4 linked regions of the Caenorhabditis elegans genome follow. The protein of the gene in region 4 interacts with the protein of the main gene of each other region in a pairwise test. Each region holds a gene or a part of one and is shown on either strand. Other genes may lie near its edges. The genes, in order: nspg-10, hsp-43, sdpn-1 and wts-1.

What was found.
Region 1: the proteins of wts-1 (region 4) and nspg-10 interact in a two-hybrid assay, tested with the Caenorhabditis elegans proteins (one large-scale study listed by BioGRID).
Region 2: the proteins of wts-1 (region 4) and hsp-43 interact in a two-hybrid assay, tested with the Caenorhabditis elegans proteins (one large-scale study listed by BioGRID).
Region 3: the proteins of wts-1 (region 4) and sdpn-1 interact in a two-hybrid assay, tested with the Caenorhabditis elegans proteins (one large-scale study listed by BioGRID).

The regions. Positions count from the first base shown.
Region 1 is NC_003282.8:4,603,777-4,608,733, reverse strand, and holds nspg-10 (uncharacterized protein), read right to left. Parts: upstream 2,949-4,957; 5' UTR 2,845-2,948; coding exon 2,820-2,844; intron 2,768-2,819; coding exon 2,668-2,767; intron 1,902-2,667; coding exon 1,803-1,901; intron 1,754-1,802; coding exon 1,596-1,753; intron 1,545-1,595; coding exon 1,348-1,544; intron 1,301-1,347; coding exon 1,213-1,300; intron 833-1,212; coding exon 767-832; intron 712-766; coding exon 644-711; 3' UTR 517-643; downstream 1-516. Other genes in the region: col-110 (Nematode cuticle collagen N-terminal domain-containing protein), read left to right, coding at 1-264, 380-440; F19C7.4 (Serine protease K12H4.7), read right to left, coding at 3,120-3,184, 3,421-3,767, 3,825-3,927, 3,979-4,090, 4,135-4,230, 4,280-4,388, 4,615-4,957.
Region 2 is NC_003284.9:6,232,610-6,237,116, forward strand, and holds hsp-43 (SHSP domain-containing protein), read right to left. Parts: upstream 2,935-4,507; 5' UTR 2,908-2,934; coding exon 2,782-2,907; intron 2,328-2,781; coding exon 2,253-2,327; intron 2,204-2,252; coding exon 1,617-2,203; intron 1,568-1,616; coding exon 1,461-1,567; intron 1,327-1,460; coding exon 1,252-1,326; intron 989-1,251; coding exon 899-988; intron 840-898; coding exon 718-839; 3' UTR 542-717; downstream 1-541. Other genes in the region: C14F11.4 (AIP3 domain-containing protein), read right to left, coding at 1-88, 301-363.
Region 3 is NC_003284.9:7,995,071-8,000,059, forward strand, and holds the start of sdpn-1 (SH3 domain-containing protein), read right to left. Parts: upstream 3,026-4,989; coding exon 3,009-3,025; intron 1-3,008.
Region 4 is NC_003279.8:10,291,893-10,299,459, forward strand, and holds the start of wts-1 (Serine/threonine-protein kinase WARTS homolog), read right to left. Parts: upstream 6,036-7,567; 5' UTR 5,955-6,035; coding exon 5,832-5,954; intron 4,868-5,831; coding exon 4,610-4,867; intron 4,229-4,609; coding exon 3,971-4,228; intron 3,456-3,970; coding exon 3,247-3,455; intron 3,189-3,246; coding exon 3,083-3,188; intron 3,037-3,082; coding exon 2,929-3,036; intron 2,685-2,928; coding exon 2,118-2,684; intron 1,835-2,117; coding exon 1,494-1,834; intron 1,340-1,493; coding exon 979-1,339; intron 930-978; coding exon 738-929; intron 451-737; coding exon 247-450; 3' UTR 187-246; coding exon of another isoform or gene 1-186. Other genes in the region: T20F10.2 (Si:ch211-1a19.3), read left to right, coding at 6,417-6,445, 7,383-7,452, 7,499-7,567. UniProt on the Caenorhabditis elegans protein: Phosphorylates yap-1 which may negatively regulate yap-1 nuclear localization. Plays an essential role in larval development.

The sequences.
Region 1 (4,957 bases), on a different chromosome or scaffold from region 4:
AGGGACAAAGGGAGAAGACGGAGCTGATGGAGAACCTGGGGAGGTTGATACTTCCGATGTTGGACCACCTGGGGATGATGGAGATGAGGGACAATCAGGAGAAGCCGGACAACCTGGAAATGATGGAAGAGATGGTAAACCAGGACAAGTTGGACCACCGGGACCACCAGGAAAAGATGGAGTGGATGGAGAAAATGGAAATGATGGAGATCTCGGAGAAGCTGGAATTCAAGGAAGACCGGGAGAGGAGGGGATCTGCCCAAAGTAAGTTGGTAGGCCGGCCTACATGATTACCTTGACCTGATTTCAAGGTTACCTAGGAATGCCTGCATGATTACCTAGGCCTGCAGAAATGATAAATTTACACGAAAAATTCCAGGTACTGTGCCATCGACGGAGGAGTCTTCTTTGACAGCGGATCCCGCCGCCGCAGAACTTAACTGATTTTTCTCAATTTCTCTGTCGGTCTCTCTTATTTGCTTTGAAAGGTGCTTTTTAGTGAAACGTGAAGTGCAATAAATAGTTATTGGTTTACTTTATCAGACTGATTGTGTATGTGTGATTCAACCCAAAAAAGTTCATGATAGACAGGTAAAAGGAATGAAAGAAAATTATAATTATTTCAAAAATTAAAAAATCAAAATTACTCGGAAATCCAGGAGGCCTCATTCAGGACGACGGCCTTATTGTCGACGATTTGGTAGGTAGGGACTAGAAATTTTGGAACTTGGGATAAAAAAAACTGAAAAATAAAAATAAAACTCACGAGTCTCATATTCAACCTTTCCGGTTTCAGTGTTGAATCTGGTCACAGCCTCGTTGGAAGTTGGAGCTGGAAATATTGAAGTTTTGTATGGTAGGTAGGTGTTTAATTTTGCCTACTTGGCCGCCTCGTGCTTAGGCAACTTTGTAAGTATGCCGAGGTAACTTTGTAGGTAGACCTAGGTGAAATTGTAGGCTGGTCTAGGTCACCGTGTTGATAGGCCTAGATTACCTTGTAGGTTTGTCTAGGTAAACTTAGGCAAACCTAGGTATTCTTGTAGAAAACAAGAGGCAATCATGTAGGCAGACATAGGTGACCTTGTAGGAAACCTTGTGAATAGGAATACAATTGCATGCAAGTCTCACAATCAGTAGCAATGCTGATAGGTCTAGGCCCTCTTGCAGACCATCCTAGGTCGCCTTGGGGCAGGCAAACTTTTTCAAACTTACATGCACATTGTGTAGTATGCTTGCAGTGTCTGAATTGAGCATTAGACCATTCACGAGCCGATTGGCATCCGAACCATCCGGCTTGAGCCTGAACAAAGCTTTTTTCTCTCTAGCTCAGCAATTGCTAAGACTTACTGGCATAACTGTACGGCATGGTCCCTTGGTGTAGGTGTTCTGCCACGCGTTCATGAGATTCTGAGCATACTTGCAAGCACCATTTGGGTCTTGAGCGGTGGCAGTCATGTAGGTATTCATAGCGGCAGATGTCTCTTGTTGGTAGTTGACGTAGGTGCTCTCGACGCAAGTGGTCAGGGTCTTACGCTCGTACATAGCTGAAGAATGTTCGAAATTTGAAAATCTGCTAAAAGATCAATGGCGCTTACTCCAGAATCCGGCTCCACACTTGAAATCCCAGTCGGCCAAGAATCCTTGGTAAGCGTAGGCGGTGTTAAGATCGAGTCCAGATCCGACGAGTCCGACGGTTCCGAGGCAATTGCGGATTTGAGCTTGTCCAAGGCATCCGTAAAAGGCAGCGTAACCGCTGGAATTTCGGAATTGAAAAGTTAAAGATTTTAAAAAGAAAGGCTTACTTGCAAACATTGACCCATGAGTCAATGACATATGGGGAGACGATGAGAGACTGGGTGATTCTGTCCAAGCTCGCCAAGTCCTTCCAGGCAGAGGTGGTGCTGAAAATATGTTCTGAATGACGGGGTGAAAACAATTTAAAGGTCAATTTCAGGTATCTAGTTTTAAAATCAATACTTGTAGACTGAAAATAATAGTGTTTATCTACTTCTAGAACTACTCGGATCACATTATAGGTATTGATATCTATACTAGGTGTGTTCTGTTGCTACTGACCTTATCAGAACATAATCGCATTAGATTTGCAAATTTTATATGTGGAAGTTTTACTCAATTGGAATTTGAATATTAATATCATCATAAGATTGAGAAAATTAACATTAAGATCAAATTATTATGTATATAACTATGTATATAAGAGCAAAAAATTGTTCATAGAGTTAAATGCAAAAATGTGTGAAAAATTTGAAAAAGTAAGTAGAAAAGCTTAAAATGTCGGTCTATGGTAATTTCAATTTTCTATAGAAATACAATTTTTAAATTATCAATTATACTTTAAAATGTAAATTTTGTTTTAATTGTGCGGCGGTGTTTGCATACTTTTCAAAAATATGTGTTCACCGACTCCACCCGGCAATTTTTTCGCAGTGCCAAGCTGTCCCATTACGGTTTGATCTACAAAAAAACGGGAATTTTTTGCACAAAAAATGCGACCTCAGCACGTTCTCAACCATGCGAAATAAGTTGAGAACTTTGCGTCTCTTCTCCCGCATGTTTTGTAGATCTACGTAGATCAAGGTGAAATGAGACACTCTGACACCACATGATTTTCAAAAAATTAGTCACAATTTCGTTTGTAAAACTTACTCAGTTCTCCAAAAATCTCCTAACTTGCTATTACAAGCCTGAAACTGTGCGCTCACACAGTTGTCAGTTCCGAATTGAGCAACAGCGGCTCCGTAAAGAGCTGAAAATCTCCAAAGTTATTTTTAAACCTTTGTTCGATAAAATCTACGTACCAGCAAAAACGATGGCAAACTTCATGCCGAAAAGGTGATGGTGACGCAGGGCTGGCAAATTGAAAAAGTCGTCTCGGGGATTGATAACGACGGCAAACCGTCGTCGGCGAATATTTGCCTGCTCCCTATCACTATCCAACTCATTTTATTAGGCACTCCTCCCTTCCAACCACTTTCATCTTATTAGCGAGGTGAAAACGCAATTTCAGGGTGTGTTCACACAACGTCATTTTGCAAATGTAATCAAAATTGGACTTTTATTATTTCTAGAATAAAATTTGAAAAATAATATTTTGAAAGTTAGAATAGGATGCTGAAAATTACAATGGAGATGGCGGTGAAGATTGAGAAGTTTGTAGTGGAACCTGAAAAACTATAAATATTGAAAGTGTAGTATCTTGAGTTTGCAGTTATCTGCGTACTTAAAGGCCCACGTATTTATTGAAAAAAAGGTATTGCCGCGAGGAAAAAGTGGGAATTTCTGTGATTTTATCAATAAAAAAACTTGATTAATGTTTTCTTAACTGAATAATTCTTATTAACATACAATTTTTTCGTGGCAAGACCCATTTGAATAAGAGGCATTCTTAAATGAACCTACCTGAATGCTGCCTAATAGCCTGTGCATCTGATAGCCACCTGGATAAATGACCATGAATCCGGATTCTCGCATCTTTCAATGATTGTTTATCCGAATCGCTTGCTGGATACATATCAGCACAATGAGATGTTCCTTCGATCAACCAAGCATCAACATTATTATTCGTGTTATTCCATTTGTAGCCAAGACCATTCCAAGGATCGAAGGATCCGTTTGGAAAAACGACATTGGTTCCACGATATGTGCCAGCTCCTCCGTATTTAGTACGAACTTGATCTACGAGTTTGAAAGTATTATCCAGGGTGTATTCCGGCCCAAAGAGATCAATGCATTGATCGGCGAAGAAACTGAAAATATTTTCAAAATACAGTACTACCTGGCTTTAACGTTTTGTTTGTTCTTACTCAAGTGGAACTGTAGATCCAAAGATTCCACCATTTCCTCCGTCAGTAGTCTGATAATATCCGAGCTCCGTGCAAGTCTGCCAGATCCAACTGCGAGTGCCAACTGGAATTTCAATTCGATTCTACAGTACCTTTACAATACTCGGAAACTCACTGACGTTCTCATTGGGCATTGTAGTGTCCGAATAGGCTTGAATAAAAGCTGTGTAATTATTTGGTCGGCATCCAGACGCTGATGGCTTAAACCAGGAATCATAAAGATTCATCTGGAAGTTAAAATTAGGTGCACTACTAGTAGAGGTACACCTACTACAGCAATAACTCTCTGGACCTCATCTCCAATTGTCGCGTTGTTTAGAAGATCACAAGCTGCAGGAACTCCCAATCCGGATCGTGTAGCATTGCTCTAAAATTGTGTTGTTTTTTGAAGTAATGAAGAGATGTTCATAATGAACCTTATTATCTCCGGTATATTGATTGATTATCTGAAAGTATCCATAGACATTTTGGAAAAAAAATTGCACGGCTTTTGATAGATTCGTCTCGTCGAAGCTGTCACAAAGACTGGAAAAATTGGATTTAGGACATATTGGTTAAGCTCGTGATAGTATTTTCAGAACTTCCCAAAAAGGTATGTCCTTTTTGTGAAAAAAATAATTCTGGAAGAAACTAAATCCTGCCAAAACTGACAAAAGCTAAGAATCTCAAATTTTTGAGAGATTTCAATGATATTAAAATTAAAATCATTTTTTCTCAAAAACTAGGTACATATTTTATTTATGAAACCCACTTGAATTGTTGTTTAAGAAGTGCACGGCTATCCGATCCATTATATGCTTTAGTGATAAGCTTTTGGAATGCAACCTTGATAACATCTCCACAGGAGTCACTAACAGTTCTATAAGTCTTTTCAGTATTAATAGCATATCCATAATAATCTACAAATACATGAACAGCAGAAGAAGATGATACTGCTCCTGCAGTCATTTCTGGATATGTTTCTCTAAAGAAAGCAGACAATGATCCAGGATATGATCCTCCGAATGTCACCCAAATTGGTTTGTCATCTTTGAAATAAAGTGCATTTATTTGAGTAATAAACTCTTTAATATCAGCAAGTGCCTGATCAATTG
Region 2 (4,507 bases), on a different chromosome or scaffold from region 4:
CAACCAAATTTTGCGGACGTTCTGGTTTTGGAGCTCTTGGAGGATATGATGTAGGGTTTCTCACGATATTGTCGAAACGTTCATTATGCTACAAATAAAAATTGTTTCTGGTACTTTGAATAACTGGAGTTTTAGAATTTTCGTCAAAATTTAATTTTTGCAATCAATTATCAAAAAGTTATTATTCTAAATTGCATTTTAAATATATATATATATATATATATATATATATCTGAAAATTATCGTTGTTTTTAATTCGATTTTAATAATAACTTCTTTAGTTTTTAAGACTAAACTCACATCATCAATAAAACGCCGGTAGATGATTTCTTTTTTGGTGACCAGCGGTGGATAACGGGACATGATCGATAGAAAAGAAGCGTCGAATGGATTGTATTATCAAAGTGAGAAATGATTGTATTTTGTTGTTTTTTTTTGTGGCTCCATCATTTTTCTTTTCATCTTTTCTATATCATCATATTTTTCTCACCTCAAGTTCTAGATTTGAAACCAACAAAATCGTACTAAAAATTAGTAAACAAAAAGCATAAATGTTTATGTATAATAGTAGGTGTACATTTGAAAGTGGAAAAGCTGTGAATAGAGTATATGGAAGCATCAGAAAATATATTGTTTTGTTTTAAAAGCTGTAGGCAGAATTTTGTGAAGTTTTGAAGGAGAACGGGTATGAGTAAAAGCATAAGGTTTTTGGTCCAATTAATATGTCTTGCGGAGAATTTGAATTGATCGGTACTCGCGTTGAGTTGAGTTTGGTGAGTCCGAGTTTCCATTACGAAGAATTCCAGTTGTAGTGCTCACTGGTGACTCGACCCGGTATCCTGAAAAATTTTACCACTTCAGTTGATTGAAGAACCCTCAATGTATAGCGAAAACTCACCTCCATTGCGACTTTCTGAGCGATGAGACTGAGCGCGAGAGCTTGAACGCTCCTCGTGAAGATTTGCATTTCCAGCAGTATTATATGACCCTAAAATTCCAATTTTAAAACTTTCGAATTTTCAAAATCCAAGTTTTCAACAAATAATGTGTCATTAACGATCATTTTTGACCAAAGGCGCAACATGTTAATGTTGTAGTTAATTTGTGATTGATGAGAAAATCCAAAGTATTGTCAGTAAACTGTTGGAAGTTTACTCTAATTGTGATGAGGGAAGTGGGAAGTAATTCGTGTGAAATGTGTGTAAATTAACTAAAAAAGAGAAACGCGATGTGCGAAATTGCAAAAATGACCTCGCTCAAAATTGTTTCGAATGGTTTCGAACGCTTTTCGACCCGGCGACCGCTGTTCCGGTGTTACTGTCCGCTCTGAAGGTAATTATGGGATCTAGATAGAAAAGAGAAATAGAAAGAAAAATGAAATGTGGAAAGAGAACACGACAGAAAGCAGTGTTTTGGAAAGTTGGAAAATTTGAATTAACTATGTATTTTCAAAAACTTACCACTTGTTGTGATACGAGGAGTGACTGGGCTATATGTTCGGTTGTCATTTCTAGTGATGTTAACATCATTTGGGGAGAGACGATTGCGAGAGTCGCTGCGGTGGTAGCTGAAAATTTTTATTTTCAGATACTCACTATCATTATCTGTAGGATTACCTGTAAGAATGAGAAGAATACACGTCTCTCGATCCTGGACTATCATTCAATCGCGATCCACTTCTGCTAGACACGCTCCTCCCGTCGTGCTCAGTCTGGACATGAATTGGCGAGTTTGGTCCTCGTTGCGAACGGAGTGTTCCATTTTCAAATCTTGGTGAATGGTGCCCGGCTCCTTCGATTGGGATCATACGCTCGCGACCTTGCAATGCCATGTTGTTGAATTTTCCAGCCTCAACTTGAAGACGTCCTTTGGCATCAATACTACTTTGAATCGAGTTGAAGTCTACGTCTCTTGGAAGTTGGTACTTTCTGACAAAGTACATTTTGGTGAAGTTATCTTTATCACGAATATCCTCATGTCTTCCCTCAATCATCAGAGTATCATCAAGAGTTTTCACTTGAATTTCTTCAGGACGGAATTGATAGCAATCCATGTCAACGGCAAATCTACGATCATCATTAACCACATTGGAGTTTACGTCAATTCCCTCCTTGAAGATTGGCTCAGCCCATCTTGGGTAGAGATTCATCCAGTATGGATCACTCCTCCAGTTGCGATCCATGCGATCAAGTTGACTGGAAAACTGCAAAAAAGTTTCGATGTGTTTCTGTTCATGCGATTTGAATTATTACTCTTGGCATGACGGCGTCCATACGGGGCCAATCGGTTGGCCAATCCTTCCACCAACTGTCGACGTCACGGGAGAACTGAAATGCAAAAAAAAAAATGATTCACAAAATATTCTGATTCATCGATGGAGAAATTGGCTGCCGATTTCCTCTCTTTTCACTTTTTTTTCAAATGATAAAAAAAACAAAATGTTTGTTCAGATTGAAAAGGAGAGAGCATTCGAATTTGAGGAAAATTTAGGGGAAACTGGTGAAAACTGCCAAATTTCAGTTGGCATGGAACAAATAAACCAAGAAGGGGAAAGCAGTGAGATTTGACTCTCTTAATGGTGTATATGTACGTAAATTCGAGTAGGGCTGTCAAGTAGACCAACGACGACGACCGGATTTGAACAGTAAAACGCCTGGCAAAATATAATAGTAGCCAGAGTGAAGAGCGTGTAGAGGTAGGTCGCGGATGAATAGCCCCCTATGCCTATTTCTAACAATTGACTATCGGAAACTAATAAGCCGCCCCCAATGAATTGGATACCCGGTGGAAAAAGTCCCTTGGTTTTGGCCAATCAAGAGGCCAATCACGGAAATCGTCGAGCCACAGGTCGTTCTCTTTCCAGAGTTTGTCACGAGTGAAATCGGCATGACGGGTTGCAAGAGTCATTTTTTGAACTGGGGGTGTGGTACTTCTGTAAAATAATAATTGTTATTCCGGTTATGGGGAACGGCAGCAATGAAACGATGAAGTACAAAAACACACAGTTTAACATAAAACCTAATAACTATTAACCTTTGTTCCAAAACACAATGTCACACAATGTGCGCTATCATAGTTTTAATTTTTAATGGAAGTTAAGAATCGGTGAACAAAAAGTGAAAACCTCTAAAAGCCGGAACACAAATCTTGCAAGCTTTTATAAGTTCTGTCTTGCATGGAAAGGTTGGAGAGTTTTGGGCGTGGTTTTAACCGCTCTCACCTTCGTCTCGAATCTTCGCCGACCCCACCGACGACTTTTTTGGTAAATACCACGTGAACAGAGTTAGAATGCGAAAAGAGGGGCGCAATCAAAAGGAGGTCTGCCAATGTTGACTGTGTTTCTCTGTCAACACTGTTATTTTGGGGGCACCGGAGGTCGGAATGGAAATCATCAAAGACGGTTGGCAAAAAAGTTCACCGGAAGGGGTCACTTAAGTTTGAAAACGGAAAATTGAAAATTTCAGATAAAAACACTTTTTCTCAAAAAAATATGACAGCTGAGTCGTGTGCTCTGAATATTCGATTGACATTGGCGTTGTTATATACCCATTTTGAAAAGAGAAGGGCGTTGGCCGCCGGTCAAAGTTACCCTATTTCAGATGAGTCAGAACCAATTGACAGAGAGAGGCATAGGCAGTTCCATTTTGTCGCTCCCGCCTTTTCTTCACGTTGGACGATGATGATCAATGTGATATTTAATCAGTGGAGGAACGACGACAAGAAAAAAGGGATAGGGTGATCACATGGATTGGAATACGCCCTTTCTGGACTATTCCAACAGTTTTGCAATTATTTCGAAAATATTTCGAAACCGGCTTTTTATGAACCATTTTTGGTCTCATTTGTCTAATAGAACAACGCCTACAGAAGTTTTTTTGGAACGCTCTGAACAGTCATTCTATGTGTTGTCATAAACGATATTGAAATACATTACATTTTTTCGCATTAGAGGAATTTTTGAAACTGGTTGACTGCGTTTACTGCAAAAAAATTGGTTGAGATTGAATATCCATTCATAGTTTGTTCTGTGAGAAACGAAAATTGACTTTTTCCTATTTTTCAATCATTCTGCCTATAATTCTTTTTGAAGCACCATAAATCATTTCCGCACTGCACTCTAAAAAATTCTGAATAATTTTTCTGTCACTCAGCCCACGCTTGATTTTGGGAGAAAAAACGGGGAAAAAGCAATTTTAATCCATTCGACGCATTTTCCGTGGTTTTTGCTAAACCAATACTGTAATTGAAACCTAAATTTGTCCAAAACTGGGTGGTGACGGCGGTTGTGTGAGTTCAGTTTGCTTTTCAGAGTAGTGTTTGCCTGTGCGTGAGTAAAATACACAGTTATGAAGGAAATAGTAAGGGTGAAAAATTCAAATACTGTTGGTTATGACTAATTTTGGGTAAAAAATGGTTTGAGGTTTTTTCGCGGAAAGCTTAGGAATTTCATGATTTTAAAAATGATTTTGAGAATTGCTAGTTCCAACCAATTTTTAATTTCCACAAA
Region 3 (4,989 bases), on a different chromosome or scaffold from region 4:
ATATAATGTAGTGAGACAGTTTTGACATACGGGAAATATTTGTTATTTTTACAAGAATACAATTCTAGAACACAAAATTAAGTATAGCACCCTATGGCGAAATTTGAAAAAAAGTATTTGTTTTGATTTTGAAAAACAGGGAATCAAAATTTGAATTCAAAATTCCATACAGGAATATGAAACCTTGACAGCTGATTGGTGAAAAGAGTGAGTGAAAACCGAATAAAAACAAAAACATGTATTCATCCGTTGCTTAACGTAATTGAACAACGGACTTTTTGACCAATGTCCTAGAAGATTGCCTAACAAGTTACTAATGGCATACACTTGAAAGACCAACACTATCGGAAAATATGTACAAGTTAAAGCGACCAGAATCAGATTCCATTCTAACGCAACTTATTTGATAGATATGAAGACCTAGTTTTAGTTAGAAGGGGACCAGTGTCTGAACATTTTACGGAAGAATATGGAAGGAATGTGTTGTCCTCGAAATAGGCAGCCCGATCTCTCCTTTTTCGTCAATTTCTTCGGTTACTTTCTTGAAAAAGTGCACGCTGTATTAATAAACGCAGATTTTGCGAACGGATAAAGAATTTGCATAGGTCATACATATACAGATACACACTCACTCAATCGCATACACAATGTTCTAATAGAACATCGTAAAAAGGTGTGAGAAGTGGAGAAGGTGAGGTGAGACTAACAGTGAAACAGAAGGTGGATGTGATGAAGAAACGATGAAAAAGTCGTATGGGATTCTGTTTCACTCCTTAAGCAGAAGAAAAAGAGGAAGCTTCATCTAATCCAACCGAAATGAATGATTTAAATGAAATTAACCGGTTTTCAAGGTTCCAGGGAAGATAAAAGTGCCCCGCCAGGAAGAGAGTACTGATATGAATTATTATGGGAATTCTGGTGACAGTGACATCATTATCAGGAGTTGGGCAGTTGGAACGTAGTCAATGTTGTTTGTTTTTTTTCTTGTAAATATAACATTTTTTTGTAAACAAAACAAGTTATTATTAGTGTCATTTAAAACATTGAGCTAACTTTAAATTCGAACAGTCTACATGATGACTGTGAACAATAAAAGAAAACACTGTTCAGGGTTAACGAGAATTCCTAAAAGTAAAAATTTCCAACAAAAAAAGTGGTTTTTGAAGATCTACGGATTTTGAAGCAATGTTTTATCAAAAAATGTTCCCGTTTTAAACTCAAAGCGTTTCAAACATGCATTCATGGCTTTTTTCATAAAAATTACTGGCGAAATATAGTTTTTAAAATTTTAATTTCTCAGCTTTGAGAATGATTAATTAGGACTTGCTGGTTTTTGGCTATGTACGGTGTAAGGAGGATTAAGTTCTTAGGGAAATAAAATGCAAAAAATCTACAACAGATATTTAAAAAAAAAAAGAAAAAAACTATAATTTAAAATTCTGACAACGACTAATTCTCAAAAAAATGTATAAATATGAATTTGTGAAAAAAAACGCTTTTTTCCTTAACATTTTTACAAGGAATAGGGAGTCTTAAAAATTTTCAATTTAAAAATTAAAAACTAAAATCTAATTTTTATAGATATAACACTTTTTTTAAACAAGAACGAAACACAACTTTCAAAAACAAAAATTACGTGTAGTTTCAAACTAAACAAATATATAAATTTTCGCGTACTTCTCGAAATATGATGTTAATCGCATAAAACACGACTCAAATTACTTACTTCTAATTAGCAACTTTGTAAAGCTATTCATTTCTGTGGGAAAAATCTCAAAATAGAAACACATACGACAATAGTGGATAACAGGGTTGTGATTACCTTAATTGTGAGTACTACTCCGTTCGGAAGGACTTAGAAACAAGAAATGAATAGAAGTTGATTGAGCGAAGGGATGCCAAGTGGACATGTAAAGGATATTCGCTTCTTATGTATTCTTAGTGGTTCGTTTGCCTAATTTGCAAAACACGTGCGGCTCAAACAGGCATTGCTAGTGAGTCACATATCTAACATGTTTTCAAATGAAAATGAGAAATTTCAAAATGGAACATAAACGAGTATCATAAATCAATAGGCGCCAAGTAGCGGGGCATGGTTTGAAAATGTTGAATGGTGATGGTGGAGAAATGGGTGGTGGAAATGGTTAGAGAGTACGAGACGTAGGCGAAATAGCTACACCGTGATGAGAGGTGAACTGCCAGCTGGTGCACAGATTCGATGGTTTATTATGTTAGTTTGCTTTCTTGCCTGTTGATATTATCCTAAGCAACAAGATGATCCGTTAATACTTGTTTTTTCATGATTGATATGGAATTGCATCAATTAAAATGTAGTCAGGTTGATGAACAAGTCGAAAAAAAAAGTTAAAAACATCATAGGAAGAGTCTATAGGAAGAAAAATTACAAACTAGTACTGCTGTAAACTTAAGCTTGCAAGCAAAAAATTGCAAATTCTGAGGGCTTTTAAAACATTCGTAACTTGCCTTGAGTAGCATCTTACTTGGTTGTTTTTTTTAATAGACATAGGTAATTTTCGAGGTGAGATATTTCTGACAATTACAAATGCGGCAATCGAAGTTTTGTCAATTGGCGAAAAGATTTTAAAACAGCAATGTCTGAACATTTCTGGAGATTTCAAAACGTATAAACGTATTTTGTAGTAAAATATTCGCTTTTCAAGCTTGATGTGTCTTGAATTGATAGGTATTTGACGGAACTTTAAAAATGAACAATTATGTCAAGGTTAAATGTTAAACTGTTTGAAATATGACTGAGGTTGAAAACTGCCGAAAATTCTGACAGTCAACTATGTATATGGGGAATTTCGAAAATCTTCACCCTTGCTTTTAGGTAGGTTTACTCGAAACATTTTTTTATGATAGATTTCTTGTGAAAAAAAACGTATGTGTTTGATTAAAAATTCAATATTATTCGGATACTTATTGAAAGTAAAAACACAATTAATATTTTTGATTAACAGAAACATTAACAGGCAAAATCTACTCACCATGGTAAACAGCTCATGTTTTAATAGATCGACGATTCGAGTGAAATAGACGAATGGAGCAACAGAACACGGGAAGTCAAGAGAAAATAGTTGGGAAAGAGTGAGAAACGTGATCAAAAAGTCTTTAAATGTACACTGTCAATAACTGATTAGGCGAGTGAGAAAGTGTGTGTTGGCGGGCAAACTCAAAGGTGTGGGGCAATATTGTTTGAGCGGTTGTTCAACTAACAAATATACATGGACTTTAAAAAAAAATACAGAGAATTGGAAAAATAGCTTTAAAAGGGAGGAGTTTTGAAAGTACTGATAGTTTTGAGTTTGCTGGAAACATTGTTTTAAAATAAATTAAATTTAGAAAACATAAAAATTAACGGTTCCTAAGAAAAGTCTCAAAGTTGCACAGCGTTAAACATATATTAGAAGTATTCATAGAAATTTCAAGCCACTTTCTATCTGTGAATCACTTTCAGCAAGATCAAGACTTAGGAGGATATCCAGCACAATCAAATGGTACTCTCCTTATTATTCGTAATTCACTTTTGATAGTTTCAATGAAAGGAAAGTGAAGTGAAAGTCAATGGTTTTCGGAAGCAAAGTGTTTGAAGTATCTAAGAGCTTCCAGGTGGAAACGCGAATGCCTTTTTTGTGACGGATGAGTAATTGTGAAACGCAGACTACTCACGGAAACACGATACATGGCGATGGCATTGGAAGAGGGCGAACGGTAAGAAAAAAAAGATGCAAAAAGAGGTGAAAACTAGACATTTTCAATATGCTGGATTGAATTCCTATCCTCACTTTGTTACCACTTGGCAGCTGAGATGCCAATGACTTTGCTTCCTTTTTCCTTCACCCCCCCCCCCCCCCCCCCGAGGACATAGGTAGCAGGCAATTATAGAAGACGAAAACATGGGTGATGATGATGATGACGATAATGATGGACGGATAGAGGGTGAAGGACAATAATAAGACGCAGAGATATAGGAGAGTGGAGTGAAAGAGCACGACTGTATAAATATGAGCTCAAGAGCAGTTTATGTGCTGGAGCATGACGAGCTCTTTCGAAAAGAACGCAACACCCTCTCCACGTTTTCGGCAGAAAAGAGTGACAGAAACAAAGAGAACGGTCATAAGCACGAGGTAACTGTTTTTACATGGGATCAGCGTTTGCACGTTGGTACGGATTACAGTTGGTACAACTGAAGATCAACACGTTCCGATGAACAATTGATCATCTAAGAAGGTTCAATAGAACAATACAATGCGGTGGTGTTGGGCAAGGGAATATATAATCAAGTGAGAAAACATTTAGGTGATCTGGCAAATTTGACTGCATTTGAAAAATGATACTTTGTAAAGAACTTATCCTAATATTTTTGTTTAACAACGCCGCAACATGCAAGCGTTTTCTTTGCTGAATGGAATTTTGTTTATAATACTTTCTGCACTTTTTTTTTTGAAATTCGTATCTTAAACTGGAATTGTAGTTTTTAGCCAGTTTATTTTGAAGGAAGTGCCTAATCTGCAATGTAAAGACAATTTTTTCGTGATTCATCATGAGTTGTGTCAGCATAAATATTTGTATTACAGCAGAAAAAGCAAAAAACCTGAGCAAACTCAGATTGTTTGGTTTTTATGTTGATCAACTTTCACAGAAATTTAATTAGATAATAGGTTAAAGAACGCACTCCTGAAAATCTGAAGATTCTCTTTTTCCCATTTGTACTGTACTAGTCTTTTTTTTCGAGATAACATCTGAAAGAAGGCGTCTGCTAAACGATTGTAATGGTGTGACGATTTAGGTTTTTTGGGTGAGTAGTTACCATCTTCAGACTTCCATCGACCAATTTAAAATTGAAAGTTGGTTTCAAACTGAAAAAAAAACTGGAGGAAAAACTAGATATTAGAAATAGTTCTTGAAATGTTTTCTGGCAATGAAAAATAGGGTTTTTGATTGAACTTGAACGTTTTTTTTTTTGAA
Region 4 (7,567 bases):
AAAAATTCATTTGAGCAAAAAAAAAACGAACGAAATAGTGTGGCGACATGAGAGAAAAAGAGAAAAGAAAAGAGATATTAAAAATATCTCGAATTCTGAAAACCGTATCGAGATCATCACAGAATTAGTAAAGAGGGTAATTTGGAAAATTAAAGATAAAAATAGAAGCAAAATGAGTAAAAAATGATACTAAAACATCACATTAAAATCATATATAATATAATCAATAAACAAATTCATGCTCTTTTAAATATGAGACGATGAATCTTCTTCCGACACTGACTCATTAAAAGTTCCGTTTTCAAGTAATGGCCGAAGTGACCGACGACGAGATGGTCGAAGTGATGGGCAACCAACAGAATCCGTATCAAAGAAATGACGATAAGTGAATTCATAGAAGGCTGGATTATGAAGACCTCGCACATTCGGCTTGTCAGCACGGTCATTGTCCTGGAAATTTGGAATTAGAAGTGTGATAGGTTTTGAAAGAAAACTTTTCAAGATTCCAAATTTAAGTTAAAAATTTGAGTAGTGAAACTCAATTATGTTTTTATTGGAGCTGCTATGTATAATAGTTTCAGAAACTCCACAATTAATTTACTTTAATTCAAATAAAAATTCTGTATTTCAAACTCAAATATTCATAATTTTGATGCTATCTTTTTTATGTCTACATACATAAAATTATATCTAACTTTTTTAGACACTCTAAACAAAGTTTAAAAGGAAAAACTCACTTGAAACGTTTCAAAATTAGAAGTGTCTTCATCGTGAGTGACCCGAGGAATATAAATATAATCAGCTCTCAGTTTTCTCAAGTTAACCCAGTCAATTCCCCTGAACCATGGATGATTTTTGACTTGTGCCGTTCGTTCGGCAACATCCTTCCCGTGAGATCCCAATCTTGACGACGCGTCACAAATTAGTTGCTGAAAAAGTTTTGGTCTTCACAACGTCTATTTAAACAAAAAAACTTACTTGAATCATCATAAGGCACTCTTTTGATAGATTTCCACAATATGTAAAATCAAGGAAGTTTCTCCAATTCTTAATTCGATGTTGTGTTCCACCAGGTGTATCATCATGAAATGGCACTCTTCCAAATACCATCTCATACAAAATCACTCCAGTCGACCACCAATCACAACTCTGATTGTGCCCGGTTTTGGCAATTACTTCGGGTGCCATGTAATTTCCTGTTCCAACAAGAGAATGGGCGGTTATCCGGCGGGTTTGTTGTCGAACATTTAGAACTTTAACGCTTTTATCAATAGCTGCAACTTCAGGAGGAAGCGAGAATGAATCGACACGATGATGGTCGTTTTCAGGTCCATAGTATCTAGAAAATATTGGATGGTTTCATGTGTGACTTAAATATTTTTTGCACAGATGTTGAGCACACCAACTACAATTAATCATTTGCGTCGCGCCTAGGCTCTATTCCATTAGACACCCTCTCTTTCTCGTGACAAATAAACAATACATAATCTTACCTTCTGTCATGAGTCCACCTCAAACCAGTGCACAATCCAAAATCAGTCAACTTAATATGTCCATGTTGATCAATTAGAATATTATCCGGTTTCAAATCTCTATGAATAAATCCAACATTATGAACATATTCAATTGCACATGCCAGTTCAGCAATGTAGAATCTAGCGAGATCTTCTTCAAATATTCCTTTTTGAATCAATAAAGTCATCATATCTCCTCCGGGAACATATTCCATTATGAAGTATAGACAAGCATCATCTTGAAATGAGAAGAAAAGACGAACAATCCAAGGAGAATCAGCTTCTGCCAGAATATCGCGTTCGGCTTTCACATGGGCGGCCTGAAAGAAAATGGTGTTTTTAGTCAAAAAGTTTTGAAATTATTTTTCGATCATATCGCTTTACAGTCACATTTTAAAAACTACTAGACTCACAATATATCTGATATATTTTCCTACTAGTAGCAAATATAGAATCAATTAAATTAAAAAAAAAAAACCTAGAGTATCAAAAATGTTAGACTTTGCAGTTTTCTTACTTTCTATTCAAGGTTTTATTTCAAACGTAGGACACCAATATTTTCAAATTTTTAAACCAAGATCCTAAACAAATAACAAATCCTACCTGTTGTTTCATTATGACATCCGCTTTTTCCAAACTTTTCATTGCATAAACCTTCCGAGTATCATTTTTTCGAACCAATGAAACTTTTCCAAATGCTCCAACACCAATATGTGAGATGACAGTGAAATGGCTTTTACTCATCTTTTGTCTTCTTAATCTCGTATATTTTGACTCTTTTTGTTGAAGTAATCCCAGCATTTTATTCCTCATAATATCCGGTAATTGAGCTGAAACCATCTCCTTTTCCAACTGTTTCATTCGTTTTTCTCGTTCTTTATATTGCTGTAGAAGTCGTTCAACATGTTGTTCCATATAAAATCGAAGCATATTTGGTTTACATGGTTGAACTCTTCGTGTATTCTTGATGTATGGTTCCAAAAGTGTTCGATCAATTGGGGAGCTGACTCGTTTCGGAGGTGGCTCACTGGGTTGATTGTATTGAGGAGGAGGAGGTTGAGCACGTGATTTCATTGTGATTTCGAGATTTCTTGGTTTGAAAAGGATCGGCCGGAAATCTTCATGATTTGCATCGGAAGTGGATGGAATCAGGCGAGGGTCGGGACGCAGCTGAAATCATTTTATTTTTAGGGTTTATCCCCGAACTTTATAACAATTATTGTTCTATTCATAAAATTCAACTGGGCTCTCGAAACCGATTCTAAAGTAGTTTTGCAAATTTTTGCTGATTATGGGTGTCTGCGAAGACAAAACTTTTAGTCTCTTATATTTTATGAGCTCTGTCAAAAAAATGACTCTAGAAATATCAGTTAAATATTTCAGAAGGTAGGAGTTGAATTTTTCTCAAATTTACCTCATCTTTATAGTTGACAAAATTCTTCCTATCGACATCAGCTGTATACCGTGGACCAATAATGAATGATTTGCTTGGAAGAGGACTATCACCAACATTTACTTTTGTCTGAAATTAAAAATGAATTTTAATATCATTTGAGGTCATAAAATACCGTATGAGGAGAAGCAACATTGATACTAACAACACTACTAGCTGTTTTTTTGTCCATTGATGTATGATAAAGTCTCTGGATATTATCTGCTTTTCGTTCTTCACTCCTGAAAAGTTAAAGCAAAAGATTTATAGAATCCTTCTGATATCGTTTAGAAAACTTACATTGTCTCGATGGAAATCGTAGATTTTGCTGGAGGAGGCGGTGGGGGTGCCATATTCTTGTTGTGATTGAGCATTGTTGGATTCGGTGGTGGCGCTTTTACAACAGGATGAACTTTCATATGCAGGTGAGTACGGTAGTTGTCTGTTGCAACTGGAGTCATTCTAGTGTTCACCGGAGATGAATCGTAGGCTGGTGGAGGTGGTCGAGACTGAAAATTTTCATTTATTAAAGTGTCAGGTCTGCCTACTAGGGGTGTTTGTGTGTACTTTATTGGACTCTTTAATTTATTTTACAAAAAAAATTTCAGAAGTTATGAACAGGTCACAAGAAGGTCCCCCTATTGCTTGAACTAGGAGTATTTTTCAAAGAAAGTTTTGGTCCATTTTCTTTTCAGCTTAAACTTTCAAACTTTGTCAATTTGGAAGTATATTTTGTTACTAATTTTAGTTGTTCACACGTGTCTCGCCGTTGATTAAAGTGCCTTTTCAGTTTACGGGTGCACTAAATATTATCAAATATGTGACCGAAAATGTAGCCAAATCAACAGAAAAACATGGAACGAACGACCAAAATATGAAAAGTGATAATCGCATTGACAATTTGGACTTTTTTCAAAACTGAACCACCGCAAACCAATTTTTTTAAAACAAAATTTTAAGTGGGACTTCTCAGAAAAAGTACTTTCCGATTCTTTAGTATTATATTTTTTCGAGAACAACTTACATATCCTGGTGAGTATTGTGGTGCATTGTTATTCATATGATATGCAGGAGTTGGCATATCATATCGATATCCAGCAGGATGTATCCTAATCGACTCTTCAGTTGTTGTAGAAGGTGTTGATGATATAGTTGTTGATGGATTTCCATTTCGAATCATCTCTTTTCCACTTCGAAATACTGTCTCATTGGCACCAGTATCCATCATTAAATGTCTTTGTGGCATTGGTGTTATCCGCATCTTGTGACCACCACCTTCTGTCTGAAAATATGATTTTTTCACTTTTGAACCACCACCCTTCACCACTTTTGAAGATCATAAATCGATTCATAGTTGACAATTTTCATAAAATCCCAAAGTTGAGCTGAGCCACCTATTTCATAATTTTTTATTCAATAGAATTTCTAGCTAGTTTGCTACAATTCCATTCTTTTTTTTTTCGAAGAAAAATATGACGCTTTCGGCCGGTCTATGTATAAATTTCAAAAAAGTTATGTTTTTTTTGGGCATACGAACTGACCTAGACGGAAAATTTGACGGACAATTTTCCCAGCCAATCGAATTTTATTTTTTACTCTCAAAATGTTTTTCCATTCGATTTCCAGGACCATTTTTGATTAAAAAAAAAGAAATGTGACTCACTCTAAAAGAATTCGAATTTGATACAGCAGCGCTCGAGACTGTCGTCGTCGTCGCTGCTGCATTTGAAGAAGAAGACGAAAAATTCATCACTTCCGCATTGTCATTGGTGATGTCAGAATGGCTGACGGAAGAACTTGACGGTGTTGCAAGTGATCCAAGAGCCACGTGACTTGATAATAAACCGGCTTCATGTTCGTAAGCTTTCAGCGATTCGCGAATTTCGTCGAGTTTTGCACGATGACGCCCCACGCGGATTTCCTGGAAAAACAATTGGTTTAATTAGTTATGCCAAATTATGGTACCACTGCCCAGATGCGAATTTTTTAGAATTTTTGTAAAAAAAGGATTTCTTTAAAGCAAAAAACTTTGCGTTTCTATGGAAGTTTTCAATGTTTCAACACTGAAATTGTACATTTTTCTGAGCAATTTATATATTTTTCATATGAAAAATACTGATTCATTGATTACGAAACTATTAAAAGGTGATGCTTCTAAATGGAATTTTAGGTGATTTCATTTTCTTATCAAAACCGCCATTCCAAGTGATAACGTCTGCCATGAAAGCCCCGCATTGTCTCGGAACGCCAAAGTGTTGAATAAGAAAGGGTGAAGTAATTTTGAGGATTTTTTTTTAAATTTTAATGAGTTCTACGAATCTTGAACAGATTTTGAAATTCAAATCAGGAAAAAAAAACATGGAACTGCAAAAAAAAATGATTTGCGATTATAGATGTATTTACAAACAATAGCAAAGCCAATATAATTTAAAAGAAGACCTTTTGAATAGGACCCCACAAAAAATTTAGCAACAGAAGAGCATTTTGAACTAGAAAAAATTGGTCCGAAAATGCTAGAGGTAATTTTTAAGTTAAATAATTTTTTAAACGGAAATCTGAAAGCATTTTGATCGAGTTGATTAGGGGGAGAACATTTTTAAAAATTTTATTAAAACTCCTAGAATTTTCAATTGCTCTTAATCACTGAAAAACAACATGTCTGCAAAAAATAGCTTTTGGAGCAAGTCTACAGCTCTCGAAAGTTGTGAAAAGAGCACTAAAAAGTTTCAGATCGTGACACTTTGCCGCTTAAAATTTACAACGATCTAGTTTAAAGGTCCTCTTTCAAATGACACATGGTTCAGCTGAAAATCTAGGGAGTGATCAAGCCAAACAGATCAAGATCTGAATCAATAACCCAATCACTTTTCCAAACCAAAACCTACTGAATTGTGATGGGCATCTATCGCTGAATTAGTAGAGCCAAATGGGATCGGAGCAACTCCACGTTGATGTCTGATATCAGAAGATGCACCATTTGGAGTAGTACCAGGGGCAGCAGGTCGCATTCCAGGGGAATACAATGCAAAGGAGGGCCTCCTGCCGAACACTGACAAACACACACACGGAGAAGGCGATGGGAATGGATTGAAGTAGAAGAAGAAGAAGGTGAAGAGATAGAATGAAATGATGAGAGAGACAGTGATACAAAACTTTCTGTGTCTCTTATCGTTATGTGGTCTCTTTGCTTCCCGCCGCTCTCTCTCTGACTCCCGCAGGAAGAGGAGAAAAGTCTTTACTCTCTTTTGCAGGACATCTCTCTTTGTCTTATTCTCTCGTGTTGTCTCTTCCAACATTCCTCATCCCTCGTCACTCTAACATCTCTCCCCGACTCTCCAACCTTCTAGTGCTCATTTTCTGCCGTTTAGTTTCCAACACATTTAGGACGCCTGTGTCTCGGAACCTCTCGCCGTATCATCAGCGGCCATCATCGCCCGTCGAAAAGACATACTTGCCGGTATCCCCCCGTCATGTCATCCAGCAGAAAGCCTCTCATACGGTAAGTTTTTAGAAGCTTTTTATAAAACTCTGTGTTTGAACAAATATTTTTAAAGATGTTTTCCTGTTTAAAATTTGAATTGAAAGCCGATTTTGAGAACAACTTCGAAGTGTTGAAAATTTTCCGGATTCAAAAATGTGCACAATTTGTAAAATTCACCAGCTTTACTGAATTTAAAACAAATTTTTAACATCTGTAGAAAAGGGGTGCTCCTTGCCCTCGCCGGTAGTGGAGAGGCACTCCAGGCGCCCCTGTTACTGTCGACTGTGCCTGCGTACTTTTGAGAATATATATTACCTTCAACATCTATATTTTAAATACTGAATATTGGAATTTTCCGACAAAAAAATTACTCTGGCTTAAATTCTCAACCAAGTTTTCAAATTGTTTCTGTAATTTTGCATAAGACCCAGTAAGTGCTATAGTACATCATCAGCTTTTGTAATTGAATTAGAAATACGTACTCAAGTGATTTTAGGTTAAAACTGGAAATTGGAGTTGTAATTTTTTCACTGGAATGATAACTCTATATATTACTACTGAAAGAGTCACAACTCTGTAGTTTTTCTTATTTAAAATGCAGTTTTGAAAAAATAACAGTAGACATAAGCTTGATACTCGAATTTTCTTGTATTGACTCAGTTTTCTGTGTTTTTATGAATTTTGATGATTTTTTAAATCAAACAACTATGCATTTCCTCTAATTCTACTACAAATCCCCTTTAATCTCCGTTTTTTTGCATTCGTCAGCCTATCAAAAATCGATGTCTCTTTCCTTTTTGTATCTATGACATCCACGCAGTCTTCCGTTTGCATAAAAACGAAACGGTGCGCCGCAGATGTCGCGTGGCTTTTCCCTTTTTTGTAACCATTAAACAAACATATAGATACATAGAAGGACAACGTTTAAATAAATATTCAATTTTTTTTCTTTCAGGAGCAGTTCACACTCGGATCGTCCTACTACAATGAGGAATTGGCCCCTTTTTGTATTTCTTATTTGCCTGGTAATATAATTAACAAGAAGTCAATGAAATTATACACTTTTTGCAGGTATTATTCTTTTACGCATTCTACGTATATCAAGCTCAAGGAGAAGTTTTATCCCAGACAAACGAAGAA